Linked DNA regions of Callithrix jacchus. The protein of the gene in region 1 purifies or fractionates together with the protein of each later gene. This does not show direct contact. Links are inferred from orthologs where the notes say so. Each region holds a gene or a part of one and is shown in the gene's direction. Other genes may lie near its edges.

What was found. Proteins that work in one complex are often made in the same cells at the same time.
Region 2: the proteins of USP10 (region 1) and YAP1 purify together in Homo sapiens (affinity purification with western blotting; 4 studies listed by BioGRID). This does not show direct contact. The link is inferred for Callithrix jacchus from reciprocal best matches to the Homo sapiens genes USP10 and YAP1.
Region 3: the proteins of USP10 (region 1) and SIRT6 purify together in Homo sapiens (affinity purification with western blotting; 4 studies listed by BioGRID, with this or other methods). This does not show direct contact. The link is inferred for Callithrix jacchus from reciprocal best matches to the Homo sapiens genes USP10 and SIRT6.

Annotation. Positions count from the first base shown.
Region 1 is NC_133521.1:42,366,238-42,371,995, forward strand, and holds the start of USP10 (ubiquitin carboxyl-terminal hydrolase 10), read left to right. Parts: upstream 1-2,126; 5' UTR 2,127-2,217; coding exon 2,218-2,238; intron 2,239-5,758. UniProt on the Homo sapiens protein: Hydrolase that can remove conjugated ubiquitin from target proteins such as p53/TP53, RPS2/us5, RPS3/us3, RPS10/eS10, BECN1, SNX3 and CFTR.
Region 2 is NC_133511.1:37,447,640-37,452,837, reverse strand, and holds part of YAP1 (transcriptional coactivator YAP1), read left to right. Parts: intron 1-3,207; coding exon 3,208-3,401; intron 3,402-5,198. UniProt on the Homo sapiens protein: Transcriptional regulator with dual roles as a coactivator and corepressor. Critical downstream regulatory target in the Hippo signaling pathway, crucial for organ size control and tumor suppression by restricting proliferation and promoting apoptosis.
Region 3 is NC_133523.1:3,917,045-3,921,860, reverse strand, and holds the end of SIRT6 (NAD-dependent protein deacylase sirtuin-6), read left to right. Parts: intron 1-1,273; coding exon 1,274-1,369; intron 1,370-1,449; coding exon 1,450-1,530; intron 1,531-2,065; coding exon 2,066-2,189; intron 2,190-2,270; coding exon 2,271-2,600; 3' UTR 2,601-3,093; downstream 3,094-4,816. UniProt on the Homo sapiens protein: NAD-dependent protein deacetylase, deacylase and mono-ADP-ribosyltransferase that plays an essential role in DNA damage repair, telomere maintenance, metabolic homeostasis, inflammation, tumorigenesis and aging.

The DNA of each region.
Region 1 (5,758 bases):
ACGGGCCTGGCCAACACAGTGAAACCCTATCTTTAGTAAAAATACAAAAATTAGGCAGGCATAGTGGCGTGTGCCTATAGTCCCAGCTACTTGGGAGGCTGAGGCAGGAGAATCGCTTGAAAGGAGGTAGAAATTGTGGTGAGGTGAGACCTCACCAGTACATCCCAGCCTGGGCAACAGAGCGAGACTCCATTTCAAAAAACTGTAATGATAATTCAGGCTGGGCACAGTGGCTCATGCCTGTAATCCCAGCACTTTGGGAGGCCAAGGTGGTAGATCATGAGGTCAGGAGGTCAGGACCAGCCTGACCAATGTGGTGAAACCCCATCTATGCTAAAAATACAAAAATTAGTCGGGTGTGGTGGCAGGTACCTGTAGTCCCAGCTACTCAGGAGGTTGAAGAGGCATGGGAATTGCTTGAACCCGAAAAGTGGAGGCTGCAGTGAGCCAAGATCATGCCACTGCACTCCAGTCTAGGGGACAGAGTAAAACCCGGTCAAAAATAAAAAAAACTCCATTTCAAAAAAAAAAAAAAAGAAAAAAAAATACCAATAATTCACTAAGATCACTTATATTCAACCCATATTTAAACATCTCTGATTGTCAACAAATAAACAATAAAACCAGTTTAAACGACATATCAGGATCCAAGCAAGATTGACACATTGTATCAGGTTATGTGTTTCTAGCTCTTCTATTTTGGAACGACCCCTCCCTGCAACTTATATTTTTCTTTTTCTTTTTTTTTTTTTTGTGAGACAGAGACTTGCTCTGTTGCCCAGGCTGGAGTGCAGTGGCACAATCTCAGCTCACTGCAACCTCCACCTCCCTGGTTCAAGCGATCCTCCCACCTCAGCCTCCCAAGTAGCTGGGACTATACATGGGTGCGCCACTACAACCCACTAATTTTTGTATTTTTAGTAGAGATGGGGTTTCACCATATTGGCCAGGCCTGGCTGGTTTCTAACTCCTGACCTCAAGTGATCTGCCCGCCTCGGCCTTCCAAAGTGCTGGGATTAAAGATGGGAGCCACTGTGCCCGGCCCACTTACATTTTTCATGGCATCGCATTTATGAAGAGACCAGGCCCCTATTTCATGCAAGGTGGGAATGGATCTTCCTGTTAATCCCCTCAGCTTAGGGTTGGGTCTAGCAAGAGTAGACTCTCTGTAGGTGTTTGTTGAACAAATGAAACCAGTGATAATGGTTATTAACGACAATCACGGTAGCCAATTTTTATTGACTGTTCTCTTGGCCAGTCTGCTCACATTAATCTTGTTTGAACCTCGCAGAAATCTTACTCGTGACAGATTTGTCTTATTCACAGGTGAGGAGACCAAGGCTTAGGAAAGGGAAGATGCCTGTCTGAATCACAGCTCGAAAAGGGGCCAGAACCCAAGGGTGGACCCACCGGCTGGAAAACGCTGCAGTCAGGCAGGGGCCCTTTTTTCTTGAAGAATGAATGAATCAACAAACCCAAGGCTAGTTTGCCTGTGCACACGCACGGACGTGTGCAATACGTAGCACTTGGCAGGCCTCGCGTCAAGCACTTTACCCGTGCTTTTACTCCCTACGTTTTGTTTTCCTGTTTTGCTTTTCTCCCTTAATGCCTAGCAAAAGGCGTGGCCCAGACGCCCGGGTAGGACTTAGGGTGTAAATGAAGAGGGAACAAATGAATGAATGGGCGGCAAAGGGATCTTCATAAACCAGACCCTCCTCCGGGATCTTCTGCGAACACTCCCGAGGCCCCGGCCCAGGGACGCCAAGGGTGACTCGTGGGCCCCGTGCCGACCTCAGGAGGCAGCTCCCGGGCTCCGGGCGCCCAGGTAACCCCCAGCAGGTGTGGGAGCCGGGGCCTGCCAGCGCCTCGGCGTTGCCACCTCCACGTGCCTGCCCTCTCTCCTTCCGGCTCCGCAGCCAGGCCCTGGCGGGCTCCTAGTGTGCAGCTGCGCGGCCGCTTCCGCCCGATGGGCTCGGTGCTCAGAGACCCAGCAGGTCCAAACGCGGCGGGGAAGGTCCGCGGCCCAGCCGGCGCACGCCCACCTGTCGCCCGCGCAGGCGCAGCACCGCGCCGGCCTCCCCGCGCCCCGCGGCGGGCGGCCAGTGCGCAGGCGCGGCGGCCGATGTGAGTGTGTATGTGCGGGCGAGAAGATGGCGGCGGCGGGGGAAGCAGCGTGAGCAGCCGGAGGAGCGCCGAGTCCCATTGAAACGGGCCGCCATGGCCCTCCACAGTCCGCAGGTAGCCGCCGGCCCGCGCCTTCGGCCGGAAGGGGACCCGAGCCCAGGGCGAGCCGACGCCGCGGCGGGCGGGCGGGCTCCCGCACTCTGCCCGGAGCGAGCGTGTGGGAGTGGGGGAGGGCGCCGGGACACGCTGCCCGGGCCTAGGCCGGAGCCACCCGCCGCTTCTGCGCACGCCGCGCCTTCGTCCTCCAGAGTTGCCTGGGCCCCCTAGTCCCGGGGAGGCAGAAGGGCGGGGGCTCCGGGCCCCGCCTGGGGAGGGCGTGGGGGGTGCCGAAGGGGTTAATCTCCCCGGGGCTGGACCGCGGGGCGAGCCCGGGGTGTGGAGTGGGGCCCTCCCCGCCGCGCCGGCCCGGGGAGGCGGCTCGGGGGCTCCGGGAGTCTCCTGGAGCGGCAAGAGCCCCAGGGCAGCTCAGGTTGCTGCCTCTGCCCGGAGCGAGCCTTAAAGATTTCAGGGTGCCCTGTTGCCCCCTTGCTCCAAAAGCCTTCCTTGTGAGCTCGATTGTTGACGCGGGGGTTGCTGATTTTCTGGTTTTTAGATAGAAGTCGCTGAGTGCGGCCTTAGGCTACTGGTGAAAACAAAACTCGAAATAAGTCGCAAGGACTGTACTTGTACTTGCATTTGAGTGACATCCCTTGCACGAATCCATCCCAGCCAGGCTGACACTAACGCACCCTGCCTGAACGGTATCTAAAGCTTAGGGGCCTTTTACAATAATCCTGTAGTGGAAAGAAAGAGCTCTTTTTGGGAGATGTGCGTGGAGAGTTAAGCTCCTCTCCTCTCCCACCCTTTCTCCCCCCTCCGCCATTATAATTATTCTGAGCGAAAATCGGCATGATACAATTTGTCAAGCTTGCTTTAGACTGCCAATTTGTTGACCTCTAGTCCCTATAAATTGTTGCATACTCTCAAACCATCTCAATGTGCATTTATATTAAATATGGGGAAATGAAACAAAGTAGCCACTGGGAAACCTGGTGGCAAGTAAAATTGTAACCCTACATAAGCACCTGGGTCTTGTTGCTCTTTTGCAGATAAAGTCAACCTGACTAGACGTCATTTGAAAAACGATTTTCGTAACTGTTGAAATGAATCCGTGTTGTGGAATCTACAACGCGAAAACTTTTAAAAATTAGGTCTTAATGAGAAGCTTCAATTTTGTTCAATTTGCCCTAGTTCAATTGGCATCGGAGCATCGTCCCGTTAATGCTTTGCTCCCTTGTACATTTACTTTTGTAAGTAGTATGGTTCTTTGCACCAAAAAAGGGATTCGCAGTTGAATAATTTTTACAAATGTATAACTCCAGAGATTTTCTTAAGAGATTTGGTGTATTTAGCTTTGTTTAGATTTATTTAAGAAAAGATCTGACGTTTGATTTTTTTCTCAACTTAAATACTAATTCGCCTACTGTTAAAATTGGTATGAATAAGTATAAAGGTCATTATGAATTAATGTGTAATATTCATTGTGATTTTTGACAAGAAGAAAGCGTCTTTAGGCATAACTCTATTTAATAAGCATCAGTCACAGTTGAAGGCTGATTGAAATGTTAGTGGAGATGGATAATATGTAAATTGTAATTTCGTTGCTTTAATTGTCCCAGTGTTTACGTGTTTTTTTTTTTTTTTTTTAATTATTATTATTATTTGAGATGGAGTCTCCCTCCTTGGCCAGGCCGAAGTGCAGTGGCACAATCTCGGCTCAATGCAGTCTTCATCTCCTGGGCTCAAGCCTTTCATCCTGCCTCAGCCTCCCGAGTCGCTGGGGTTACAGGTGTGCATCACCACAGCCAGCTAATTTTTTAGTAGAGGCGGGGATTCACGGTGTTGGCCAGGATGGTCTGATTTCCTGACCTCGTGAGACACCTCGCCCGCCCTGTATTTATGTTTCATGCGGCAGCATTAGCTATATGCATCTTCAGAGAATTGGAGTAGCAAAAGTTGGCTCAACATAAATGTTAGCAACACTTTGGGTTTATTCTTTTAAAGTGTGATTTAAATGCTTTTAAGTTCTAGCGTGAAGAAAGTAGCAAAGGAGATAGTTTAATTTCTCAAAATTTTCTTTTTCTTTTTTTTGAGATGGAGTTTCGCTCTTGTTGCTCAGGCTGCAGTGCGATGGCGCCATCTCTGCTCACTGCAACCTCCACCTCCCGGGTTCAAATGATTCTCCTGCCTCAGCCTCTCCGGGTACAGGCGCCAGCCACCATGCCCAGCTAATTTTTTTGTATTTTTATTATACTCGGGGTTTCACCATGTTGGCCAGGCTGGTCTGGAACTCTTGGCCTCAGGTGATCCACCACTTCAGCCTCGCAAAGTGCTGGGATTACAGGTGTGAGCCACCGCCAGGTCGATTTCTCATAATTTTCATTTTCAAAGAATAGTAATGGAAACAAATAATGGAATTATGTATGACAGGATTTAGTTACTGGTTCCTGCCTGAATCATTCTGAGCGTTTTCAAAAATTTGTTTTATTTGGTTGCCAACTACCCGAAAAGTCTTGCAGCCTTAATGGCCATTCATGCATTCAGCAAATACTGATTGTTCTCATGTGCTAAGTGCCATGATATGCATATTACACTTGTTTTTGTTGGGAATAACAGCTACAAATTCGAGGTCTTATTTTAAAATTGGTTCGTTAAAGTTAAATTTGTCAGTAAGAATAATGGGACCTGGAAAAAGTTAAAAATGTTTATAGGCCGGCACAGTGGCTCACGCCTGTAATCCCAGCACTTTGGGAGGTGGAGATGCTTGGATTACTTGAGGAGGTCAGGAGTTCAAGACCAGCGTGGCCAACATGGTGAAACCCCGATCTCTACTAAAAATACAAGAATTAGCCAGGCGTGGTGGCACACCTGTAATACCAGCTATTCGGGAAACCGAGTTAGGAGAATCACTTGAACCTGGGAGGTGGGGGTTGCAGTGAGCCGAGATCACACCACTGCACTCCAGCCTGGGTTACAAGAGGGAAACGCCATCTCAAATAAATAAAAATAAGTAAATAAAACAAAAATGTTTCTAGGTTAGTAACCCTATTTCCAGTTATTAGGAAGTGTTGATTGATCCCTTTTGCCTGTATTGAAGTGTAATAGTGAAACATTTGGAAACATTTTGAGGACAATAGCTTTCAACATTTTAGCAAAAACAAGAGAACTTAACAGTTGAAGTGTTAAGTCCAAGTGAATTTCTCTGTCACTGACGGGCCGATGCCGATGAAATGATTTGGGGTAATTTGAAGCTACCACTTTTGCCTTACACCTGAAAAAATGTTTGTGATTATTGATGTCATTTTATAGTGAAATCTCCAGAATAATGCTTCCTACACCCAAGTTGAATATCATGCAGTTGGCTCCTGTCCTTGTCTCTGCATAGACTCAACCCAGTCTTTTTTTTAACCTTGTGATAGCAGGGCCCCCACATTTTACATGATGGAATGCCTTGGATTCCACTTCCGGCACACAGCAGAATGTTGCTGTATTGCTGAATAACTGTTTATAGCTGACAGGTGGATTAGTGTTAATT
Region 2 (5,198 bases), on another chromosome or scaffold:
CTTTGCCCTGGGTTAGGGCCCATGAATTTACATTTCTAAGAAGTTGCTAGGTACTCCTGATGATCCAGAAACCACAGAACCATGTTATTAAAGAAGTCTTGGATTATGAATGAAATATAATGTATGGACCTTGTTTGGATTCTGTTTTGAACAAGCCAATTGTAAAAATAATAATTCTCTTGATAGGAAAATATAGACATGCGATGGACTTTTGATAATATTAAGGAATTGGTAAATTTTGATAGTGTAATCATGGTATTGTAATTATATTTTTCTTTTTTTAAAGGAGGCCCCACCTTTTTAGAAATACATACTGAAATTATGGGTAAATGCTATATTGTTTGCTTGAAAATAATTGGAGCTGAAAAGTAGTTGAGGATAGAGGTAAAGAATGATTGGCCATGTATTGATGATGGGGAAGAAAGTGATGAGTACACAAGGATTCATTATATGTATTAATTTTTCTGCTTTTCTGTGTTTACAGAAATTATCTTTAAAATTTAAAATACATATTTGGAAACATAAAAATATATTCCTAAATAGCACATGAGTTTAAGTCATCATAGAAATTATACATTTTTGGAATAAAAGAGTCATGAACTATACTATTTCAAAACGTGTGGCATGCAGGTGAAGCAGGACTTAAAGGTAAATTTATTGACTTAAGTCTTCCAAGAAATATTTAAATGAAGTAAGTTCAACTCAAAAGTTAGAGGATGAAATACAGAAAAGCTGGAGGGAAAAAGTAAGAGCAGAAAAAATAGAAATAAGTTAATGCAGTCATCTTATATTCACAGGTAGCTGAGAAGATTGGATTGAACTAAGGCATTGTTAGAGAGATTGGTGTATAATTTTCCTCTCTCTAATATCCTTGGTTCTGTTTCAGTGCTGTGCTAGCCTGATAGAAGAATTGGGCAGTCTTGAGCCAGGTGTGGTGCTTGCCTGCAGTTTCAGCTACTTGAGAGACTGAGACAGTAGGATCATGTGAAGCTTGGAGTTTGAGACCAGTCTGGGCAACATAGTAAGACAGGGATTTAAAAAAAAAAAAAAAAAGAAGTAATCTAAAGGGAAATTAATAGTAGGACTTCTCTATTGTCTTTTATCTTAAATAGTTAATTTTCTGCCTCAGTGAGGAACTACTCAACGTATGTAGAAATGGTTTGTTATTTTTTCAGCATACACTTAGTGCCAGATGCTGTGTTAGGCATTGAGAACATGTAGATGACTAGGATACATCCCCTACTCCTGTGGCAGTCAGTCTGAGGGAGCATATACTTTTGTAAACAAAAAATTAGAGCTGTCTCTGTTGCCATGACCCGCAATAACCAGCGTGAGCTCGCCCACCAGAAGAATAGGAAAAAGCAGAGCAACTAGGTTAAGGGACGGCACCGAGATGACGGGCTTTTTGTTGCCACCGGCAAGCAGAGTGCCCCATCATCTCTACCGCCAGGGTCGGAGATCGTGCAGCAGAAGCGAAGAAGGCAAACAAGAAGGAGAAACCCAACTAGCTTTGTGGCTGCATGTGCAGCCCTCTTGCACTTCGCCTGTGTGCCTAGAACCAGTCCCACCACGCTCGCGTTTACTACTGTAGTGCTCACAGGTCCTAGCGCCGATGGCATTCCCTTTGCCCTGAGTCTGCAGCGGGTCTCTTTTGTGCCTCCTTCCCCTCAGGTAGCCTCTCTTCCCCTGGGCCGCTCCTGGGGGTGAGGGGGTTACCCCTTCCCAGTGTTTTTTTATTTCTGTGGGGCTCACCCCAGAGTATTTAAAGTAGTTTTGTTAAAAAAAAAAAAAAAAGTTAGAATCAGGCAAGAAATGTTAGTAGACAATATGGAAGAGTTCCTAGGCAATTCCTTGAGAGAAGAAAACGTTTAATGTATAGGATGGACTCGGCCTCGTGATGTTTTTGCTCAAGTGGTCTCCAAGAAGAAATGGTATTTACCAAGCAGCCAGTCTGTTGTAACGGGACACATTAAAAGTCAAGAGGAGTTTGCTGTGTGACTGGGAGACCATTAAGTTATAAGAGCTGTCAGTGTATGTTATTTAGGATTTTTGTAGCAAGGTTTATTTGAGAGATTGGCCTGTAATTTTCCTTTCTTTTAATATCCTTGTATGGTATCAAGGTTATGCTGGCCTTATAAGTGTTGGAAAATATTCCTTCCTTGTTATGCTCTGGAAGAGGTTGTGTAAGATTGGTATTCTTTCTTCCTTGAATGACTGCAAAGCCATTGGGATGTGGGGTTTTCTTTAGTCAGTGTGTACTAAACATTTAGTAGAAACAGTGACCCAAAATTTCAACTTAAGTTGAATATGTGTCTGAAAAGTTTTATTCTTCTTACTAACATTTTCACATAAAACTTCACTCTGCTCACTGAGGTTGATCCACAGTTTGATCAATGTTTTATCAGTGACAGAAATACAGTAGTATAAAAACTTGAGTCCATTTCTAACCACTAAATCATATATTACAGCTTCAAAAAACAATTTTTTTTCTTTTGAGTACCTAGGCTGTATGCTGGGGGTACTGTGGTGTCAAATGAGACAAATCTGTGTCATCCAAATACTTGTGGACTCAATTTGATACAAACAAGCATCAGATCATTTTAATCTACTGGGTTTATTGGGATGTGTGTGTGAATATATTATTAAGGCCTGATTATTTTGATGGGCTTTCCTGTTCAGAATGCTTTGTCTTAGTTGCTTTTGTGAATGAATTTTTAATTAAATTTATATATTTCATAAGAAGTAATATATTTGCATCATTCACACTTCAGAAGTTATAAATAAGGATCTCCAACTTTGTCCTTTAGTCACCTAGTTTCCCATCTGTGGAGCTAAAATATGTTAGTTGCTTCTTAGCTATTCATTAGTTTTTATATCCTCTGAATATGCAATATATATTCATCACCTTTGTCCCCCCCCTTTTTTTTAACCTTTGTCTTCTGCACTTTGCTTTTAATTTAATAAGTCCTTAGAAACCGTTCTTTATCCTTGCATGTTAAAACTATCTTGTTTTCTCTTATGACTTCCTTGTATCTTGTGAGAACAGTAATTTTAAGTTAATTGTGGTATTGATGGATTTTTAGGTTATTTCCAGTCTTCCTGCCCAAAACAGCTACATTGAATATCCCAAATTGCTTTTGAATAATTAAATCATCATTTTGTCTTCCTTTGCTAGCTTTTTGGGACAGATTTTTTTTTTCTTTTCAGCCATGAACCAGAGAATCAGTCAGAGTGCTCCAGTGAAACAGCCACCACCTCTGGCTCCCCAGAGCCCACAGGGAGGTGTCATGGGTGGCAGCAGCTCCAACCAACAGCAACAGATGCGACTGCAGCAACTGCAGATGGAGAAGGAGAGGCTGCGGCTGAAACAGCAAGAACTGCTTCGGCAGGTGAGGCCACAGGTTAGAAACCAGCCTTCCACTTTTTGGGGTTTGTTTTCTTACTTAAAGTTTTGCAGATTTCATTTTAACATTTATTACAGAGGAATACTGTCTTCATAAAAATGAGCGACATAGAAGCATACTATCCAGCTCTGTCCTTGTCTTAGTTTCCTGACTGTGATTGGCCTTGATCAAATTACAAGGGATGTAACTTGGAAACGTGTATCGTGAAGCTGTTTTGGCTATGGTCATTGCAATTGAGCAGAAATTGAAGGAAGCAACAATGCTCTCTTTAATGTACATGGAATTGTGGATTTATGTTTTTCTGAGGATTTTAGAAAGGGGGAAATTCTACAACATCACTTGGGAGAAAATATCTTTTGTTATTATTTATGTGGTGGGATACACCAGTATGACATTTCTTGAATGACAAGTATACTTCAGTATTACCGAATCTAAGAATTTTCATTTAAAACATAATGAGAGTTACCTTTGTCCAGGTGCGATGGCTTATGACTGTAATCTGAGCACTTTGAGAGTCCAGAGTGGGCAGATCACTTGAGGCCAGAGTTCCAAGACCAGCCTGGCCAACATAGCAAAACCCCGTCTCTACTAAAAATATAAAAATTAGCTGAGCATGGTGGTGCACACCTGTAATCCCAGCTATTCGGGAGGCTGAAGCACAAGAATTGCTGGAGCCTCAGAGGCAGAGGTTCATTGAGCCAAGATTGTGCCACTGCACTTGAGCCTGGGTGACAGAGTGAGACTCTTTCTCCAAAAAAAAAAGTTATCTTCAAGTTTAGTAGATGCCACTGTGCTTTAAAATTACCTGCCTATGGATTTTTTTTATATTGGGAAAAGTAGGATATAACAGCAGAGAGCTTGAAGCCCCTTTAATCACCATTTCCGTCAGCTTTCTTCCACAAGGTACTGTTGGTCTTTATGTTCCATAATACATAATTCATCTCAGCATTAATTTTTACTTTATCTTATTTCAGAGTGGTTAAATCTAAGTTCAGATATTCAGGATATGATCGTTTGTTAAGTAGTGTAGTTATTTTTAAATTTCTATATAAAAAATTTTTGAATAGATACCAGAAACATGGTATAATAGTGATAAAGTGTATAAAAGGTAAAGGTACACTCAAAATCTTTTTTCTGTTACCCTGGTTCTTTCCTCTGGGGCCTAAATAACTATGAGTTTTTTAGGTTTTTTGTTTTTTGTTCATTTTTCCAGAGATACTCTGTTTAGCTATGTAAAATATATGTATCTATGCTATGTTTTCCCCACCTAAATCACAGCATGCTAAGTGTAGACATTTAAAAATCATCATACTCGGCCAGGCATGGTGGCCCATGCCTGTAAACCCCAACACTTAGGGAGGCCGAGGCAGGAGGTTTGCTTGAACCCAGGAGTTGAAACCAGCCTGGGCAACATGGCAAGACCCTGTCTCTTAAAAAAATATATATATATGTGCGTTCTATATTTCTGTTATCAGAAAGTGGGCATTTAAAGGTCTGTTTTTTTAAAGGGCTATGTTTTAAAGGTATCTCTTGAATGTCAGTGAAAATATATGAACTCAGTAACACCTGAACTCTGATTTGGGGTTTGAGGAGCTGGTACTTCAGGAGTTAAATTAAGCCATGGCATCTGAGACAGGCTCACCTTTAAACTGTGCTCTGTCAGTAATCTGTTCGTATAATTCTAGTGTGATTGGCATCAAAGGTAAGCCCTGATAGAGGCAGTAAGAAAATATGTGCCAGTATATGATGTCAGGAACTTGTCGGGGCTCAGAAAACGATACTCCAAAAAATGGT
Region 3 (4,816 bases), on another chromosome or scaffold:
CTGGGGGGTCTGAGGGTCACCCCGTCCTCCTGGGGGGTCTGAGGGTCACCCCGTCCTCCTGGGGGGTCTGAGGGTCACCCCGTCCTCCTGGGGGGTCTGAGGGTCACCCCGTCCTCCTGGGGGGTCTGAGGGTCACCCCGTCCTCCTGGGGGGTCTGAGGGTCACCCCGTCCTCCTGGGGGGTCTGAGGGTCACCCCATCCTCCTGGAGGGTCTGAGGGTCACCCCGTCCTCCTGGAGGGTCTGAGGGTCACCCCGTCCTCCTGGGGGGTCTGAGGGTCACCCCGTCCTCCTGGGGGGTCTGAGGGTCACCCCGTCCTCCTGGGGGGTCTGAGGGTCACCCCGTCCTCCTGGAGGGTCTGAGGGTCACCCCGTCCTCCTGGAGGGTCTGAGGGTCACCCCGTCCTCCTGGAGGGTCTGAGGGTCACCCCGTCCTCCTGGGGGGTCTGAGGGTCACCCCGTCCTCCTGGGGGGTCTGAGGGTCATGCCTTCCTCCTGGAGGGACTAGAGGGACATGCCTCCCTCCCAGGGAGTTACTTCCGTGTTCTGGCACTGCCATAGCAACCAGTAGATGAGCAGCTTAGAACAATAGAAATTTGTGATCTCACAGTTCTGGGGGCCAGAAGTCCAAAATCCAAGTGTCTGCAGGGCCGTGCCCCTCTGCAACCTGCCGGGAGGATTTTTCCTGCCTCTTCCTCGCTGCTGGCAGCAGCCAGACCCCCTTGGTGGTCCTGGGCTTACAGCTACAGGGGCCTTCTTATCTCCGAGTTTCTCCTCTTTTTTTATTTTTATACACATAGGGTCTCACTGTGTTGCCCAGGCTGGTCTCAAACTCCTGGCCTCAAATGATTCTCCCGCCTCGTCCTCCCAAAGTGCTGGGATTACAGGCGTGAGCCCCCGAGGCTGGTCCAGTATAACGGTTAAAGTCAGGAAAAGTAAAGGGGACATGGCCTTCTCCAATCCCTGGTTTGATTCCAGACCCAGCCGGTTGCCCCCAAGCTCTAGCTGTTCTGTTCCTCCTGGTCCGGGATGCCATGCGGGGTCCCGTCCCCAGCCCCAGGACCTTCTCCTACCTTTGTTTTCTGTGCCCTGGGAACTGAGCAGCGTCCCGGCCTGATGCTCATGGGAGGCTCCTCCTTCTGCATCACTCGGTGCTGAGTTCTGGCCACCTGTCCACCCCCGCGCCTCCCTGGGAGAATGTCCCCCTAGAAGCAGCTTGAGAGACACCCCCGGGGGCTGACTCGGCCCCGGCCTTCCCCTTCCTCCCTGACACAGGCAGTACGTCCGGGACACGGTTGTGGGCAGCATGGGCCTGAAGGCCACAGGTCGGCTCTGCACCGTGGCTAAGGCGAGGGGGCTGCGGGCCTGCAGGTGAGCGACCCTGCCCGTGCCCTGGGCTACAGGGGAGGCTACGAGGCCCCTTTGGACTCTTCCCGGCTTCCTCATTGCAGGGGGGAGCTGAGGGACACCATCCTAGACTGGGAGGACTCCCTACCGGACCGGGACCTGGCGCTTGCCGATGAGGCCAGCAGGTCTGACCGCCCCCAGGGAGCCCACAGGGGAGCGGGCTGGGGAGATGGCAGAAACACAGCCAGCTCCAGTAACGGGGGCAGGAGCTCCAGCTCAGAGGCAGTCAGGGGGTGCTTCCTGGAGGAGGTGGGCCACACCAGGGACTGCACACACACACACACACACACACACACACATACACACTCTCTCCTCACTATGGTTCTGGGTGGATGCTGCACAAAGAAACGGAGGCTTCAGCCACACGACTCCTCTAGCCAGTGCTGCCCAGCCAGGAGGAGACTGAGCCAGGGACCCACCCTAGGGTTCCAAGCTGTCGCCACACTGCCATTCTCCCCAGAAGGATCAATGACCCTGCTGGCAGGCAGCAGAGGAGAGGGGGTGGGATCCTGAAGGCTGGCTCTGCAGTGGGGCCAGCCTTGACTGCCCGGGTGAGCACAGAGGGCCTAGGTGTGAGCTGGACCCCATGGCCAGCTCGGGATGTTGGCCAGAGCGGGGCTGGAGAGGGGATCAGACTCAGCCCACGCTCCCCGGCCCCAGGAACGCCGACCTGTCCATCACCCTGGGTACGTCGCTGCAGATCCGACCCAGTGGGAATCTGCCGCTGGCCACCAAGCGCCGGGGAGGCCGCCTGGTCATCGTCAACCTGCAGCCCACCAAGCACGTAGGTGTCTGAGCCCACCCCTGCCCAGGGCCCCCATGTGCCCTCTGCCCCCGACGCCTGACCCATCCCAACTCCCGGCAGGACCGTCATGCCGACCTCCGCATCCATGGCTACGTCGACGAAGTCATGACCCGGCTCATGAAGCACCTCGGGTTGGAGATCCCCGCCTGGGACGGCCCCCGTGTGCTGGAGAGGGCGCTGCCGCCCCTGCCCCGCCCACCTGCCCCCAAGCTGGAGTCCAAGGAGGAATCCCCCACCCGGATCAACGGCTCTGTCCCCGCCAGCCCCAAGCAGGAGCCCTGTGCCCAGCACAACGGCTCAGAGCCCGACAGCCCCAAACGGGAGCGGCCCGCCAGCCCTGCACCCCACAGACCCCCAAAAAGAGTGAAGGCTGAGGCGGTCCCCAGCTGACCAGGGTGCTCGGGGAGGGCGGGGCTTTTTGTAGAAACCGTGGATTCTTTTTCTCTCGTGGTCTCACTTTGTTACTTGTTTCTTTCCCCGGGAACCTCAGGGCTCTGAGAGCTGCGCTCCAGGGGTCACACCTGCCCTCCAAGGTCTCTCCCTGGGCTCCAGGAAGAAACCACACCCCGGGGCTGACAGCTAAGCCCCTGCTATACCCCAGCCTCTGACTCAGGGTGTTGTTGGGAGGTGTGGCTGGGCCCTCCCTGGTCTCCAGTCTAAACAGGACTGACCTCCCTCTGCCCCCAGGGCTTCCCCTCTGGGCCCCCCACACCCCACCCACCTCTCCTCCACCGGCCTTGCAGGAGGGGAGACCCACTTCAAAGTGGGGGACACACCAGAGGCTGGCATTGCCTTTGGAGCTGGAGGGAGGGAGACGTTGGTCCACCAGGCTTCTGGAAAAGTCTTCAATGCAATAAAAACTGAACTTCCTTCTTGCATCTCAGAATCGTTCTTTTTTTTGAGTTGGAGCCTTGCTCTGTCACCAAGGTTGGAATGCAGTGGTGTGATCTCAGCTCACTGCAGCCTTCACCTCCTGGGATTCTCCTGCCTCAGCCTCCTGAGTAGCTGGGTTTATAGGTGCTCGCCATCACACCCAGCTAGTTGTTTGCATTTTTGTAGAGACAGGGTCTCACTATGTGGCCCAGGCTGGTCTTGAACTCCTGGGCTCAAGCAGTCAGGCCACCTTGGCCTCCCAAAGTGTTGGACTTACGGGCGTGAGCCACTGCATCCAGTAAGTGTTTAAATTCCAAATTTGTGGCAGGTCCTTGCCCTCCCGGGTCAGGAGTTCGTGGTTCCCTCCTCCCTGGACCATCTGCCTGTGCTCCGTTGCAATCCCTGCCCCTCAAGCCCAGGGTGGGGAACAAGGGCTTCCCTATCCCCCACCCCCACCTCTGGAGGGATCAGGCCAGCTTTATGATGATGAAGCCCATACAGCAGCTAGCATTTTCTGAGCACCCAGTCTGTAGTTACACACTTACGAGCAAGACTTTTTCTTGTTTCACATTTGCCCCAGGCTGTGAGCCGCCTTCTGTCCTTTGGCGCGCACAACCCACAGTGGGGGCAACGCGGCAGAAGAGCGCAGGCGCAGCCAGGTTCCACCCTCCCCAGCTGTGACCTTGGGGAGTCCCTCCACTTCTGAAGCCTCCGTATCCTGACCCACAAAACGAGCAGGGTGGGCCGCCCAGATCCCCAGGAAGGCAGCTGCCTTCCCCGCAAGCCAGGCGCTCACACCCTGGAAGCACCTCCCGGGCTCCCCGCGCTCGGCCCGCCGCCGCTCTCCAAGGTGCTGAAGCCGCGCCTGGCACCTCTCCCGCCGCTGTTCCCGCGCGGGGATCTGGCGGCGGCGTGGAGCCCACACCTCACTCCCCTATCCCAGGCTGGCCCAACCCCTCATTCTAGGGAGTGGGGGAGCCCCCAGACTCCGCCTCCACCCCAAAACATGGTTCTGTCAAAATACTTTATTTGGGATTGGGCAGTCTTAGAAAAGGGGGGTGATGGTGAGTCGTGGCTGCTCCGAAGACCAGGGCGTACCTGGGGCTCCAGAGCCAGGGTCCCTGCAGTCTCGGCGGCTTCCTCCTCCCAGTGTGCGAGGGAGGCCCGAAGGGGTCCCTGGGCGGGGAGTTGCTGGGCATCTGTCTGTCCATCCGGGTCTGTTTCAGGCTGCGTCTGTCTGTCCACACCCGTTTCAGGCTATCTGTCTGTCTGTCTGTCTGTGCTGGTCTGTTTCAGGCTGTGTCTGTCTGTCCACATCCACTTCAGGCTATCTGTCTGTCTGTCTGTCTGTGCTGGTCTGTTTCAGGCTGTGTCTGTCTGTCCATCCACATCTGTTTCAGGCTGTCGGTCTGTCTGTGCGGGTCTGTTTGAGGATGTATCTGTCTGTGTCTGTCTCAGGCAGTGTCTATCTGTCCGTCTGTCTGTCCGGGTCTTTTTCAGGCTGTGTGTCTACTCATTGCTTCTGCGCCTGGCTCTGTGTGTATTTCCTGGGCCCCATGGCCCTCTCTTTGTCGGTGTCTGAGTTTCAGTTCCTGCGTGGGCCTCAGTCAGGCCCTGGGTGTGTGGTTGTGAGCTGTGCCTCCCCATCCTGGCGTGTCTGCCGGGGTCTCAGCCTCACCTCCCATCCCCAGGTGGGTCACCGTCCAGCGCAGCACCCCCAAGGCATCCCTGGG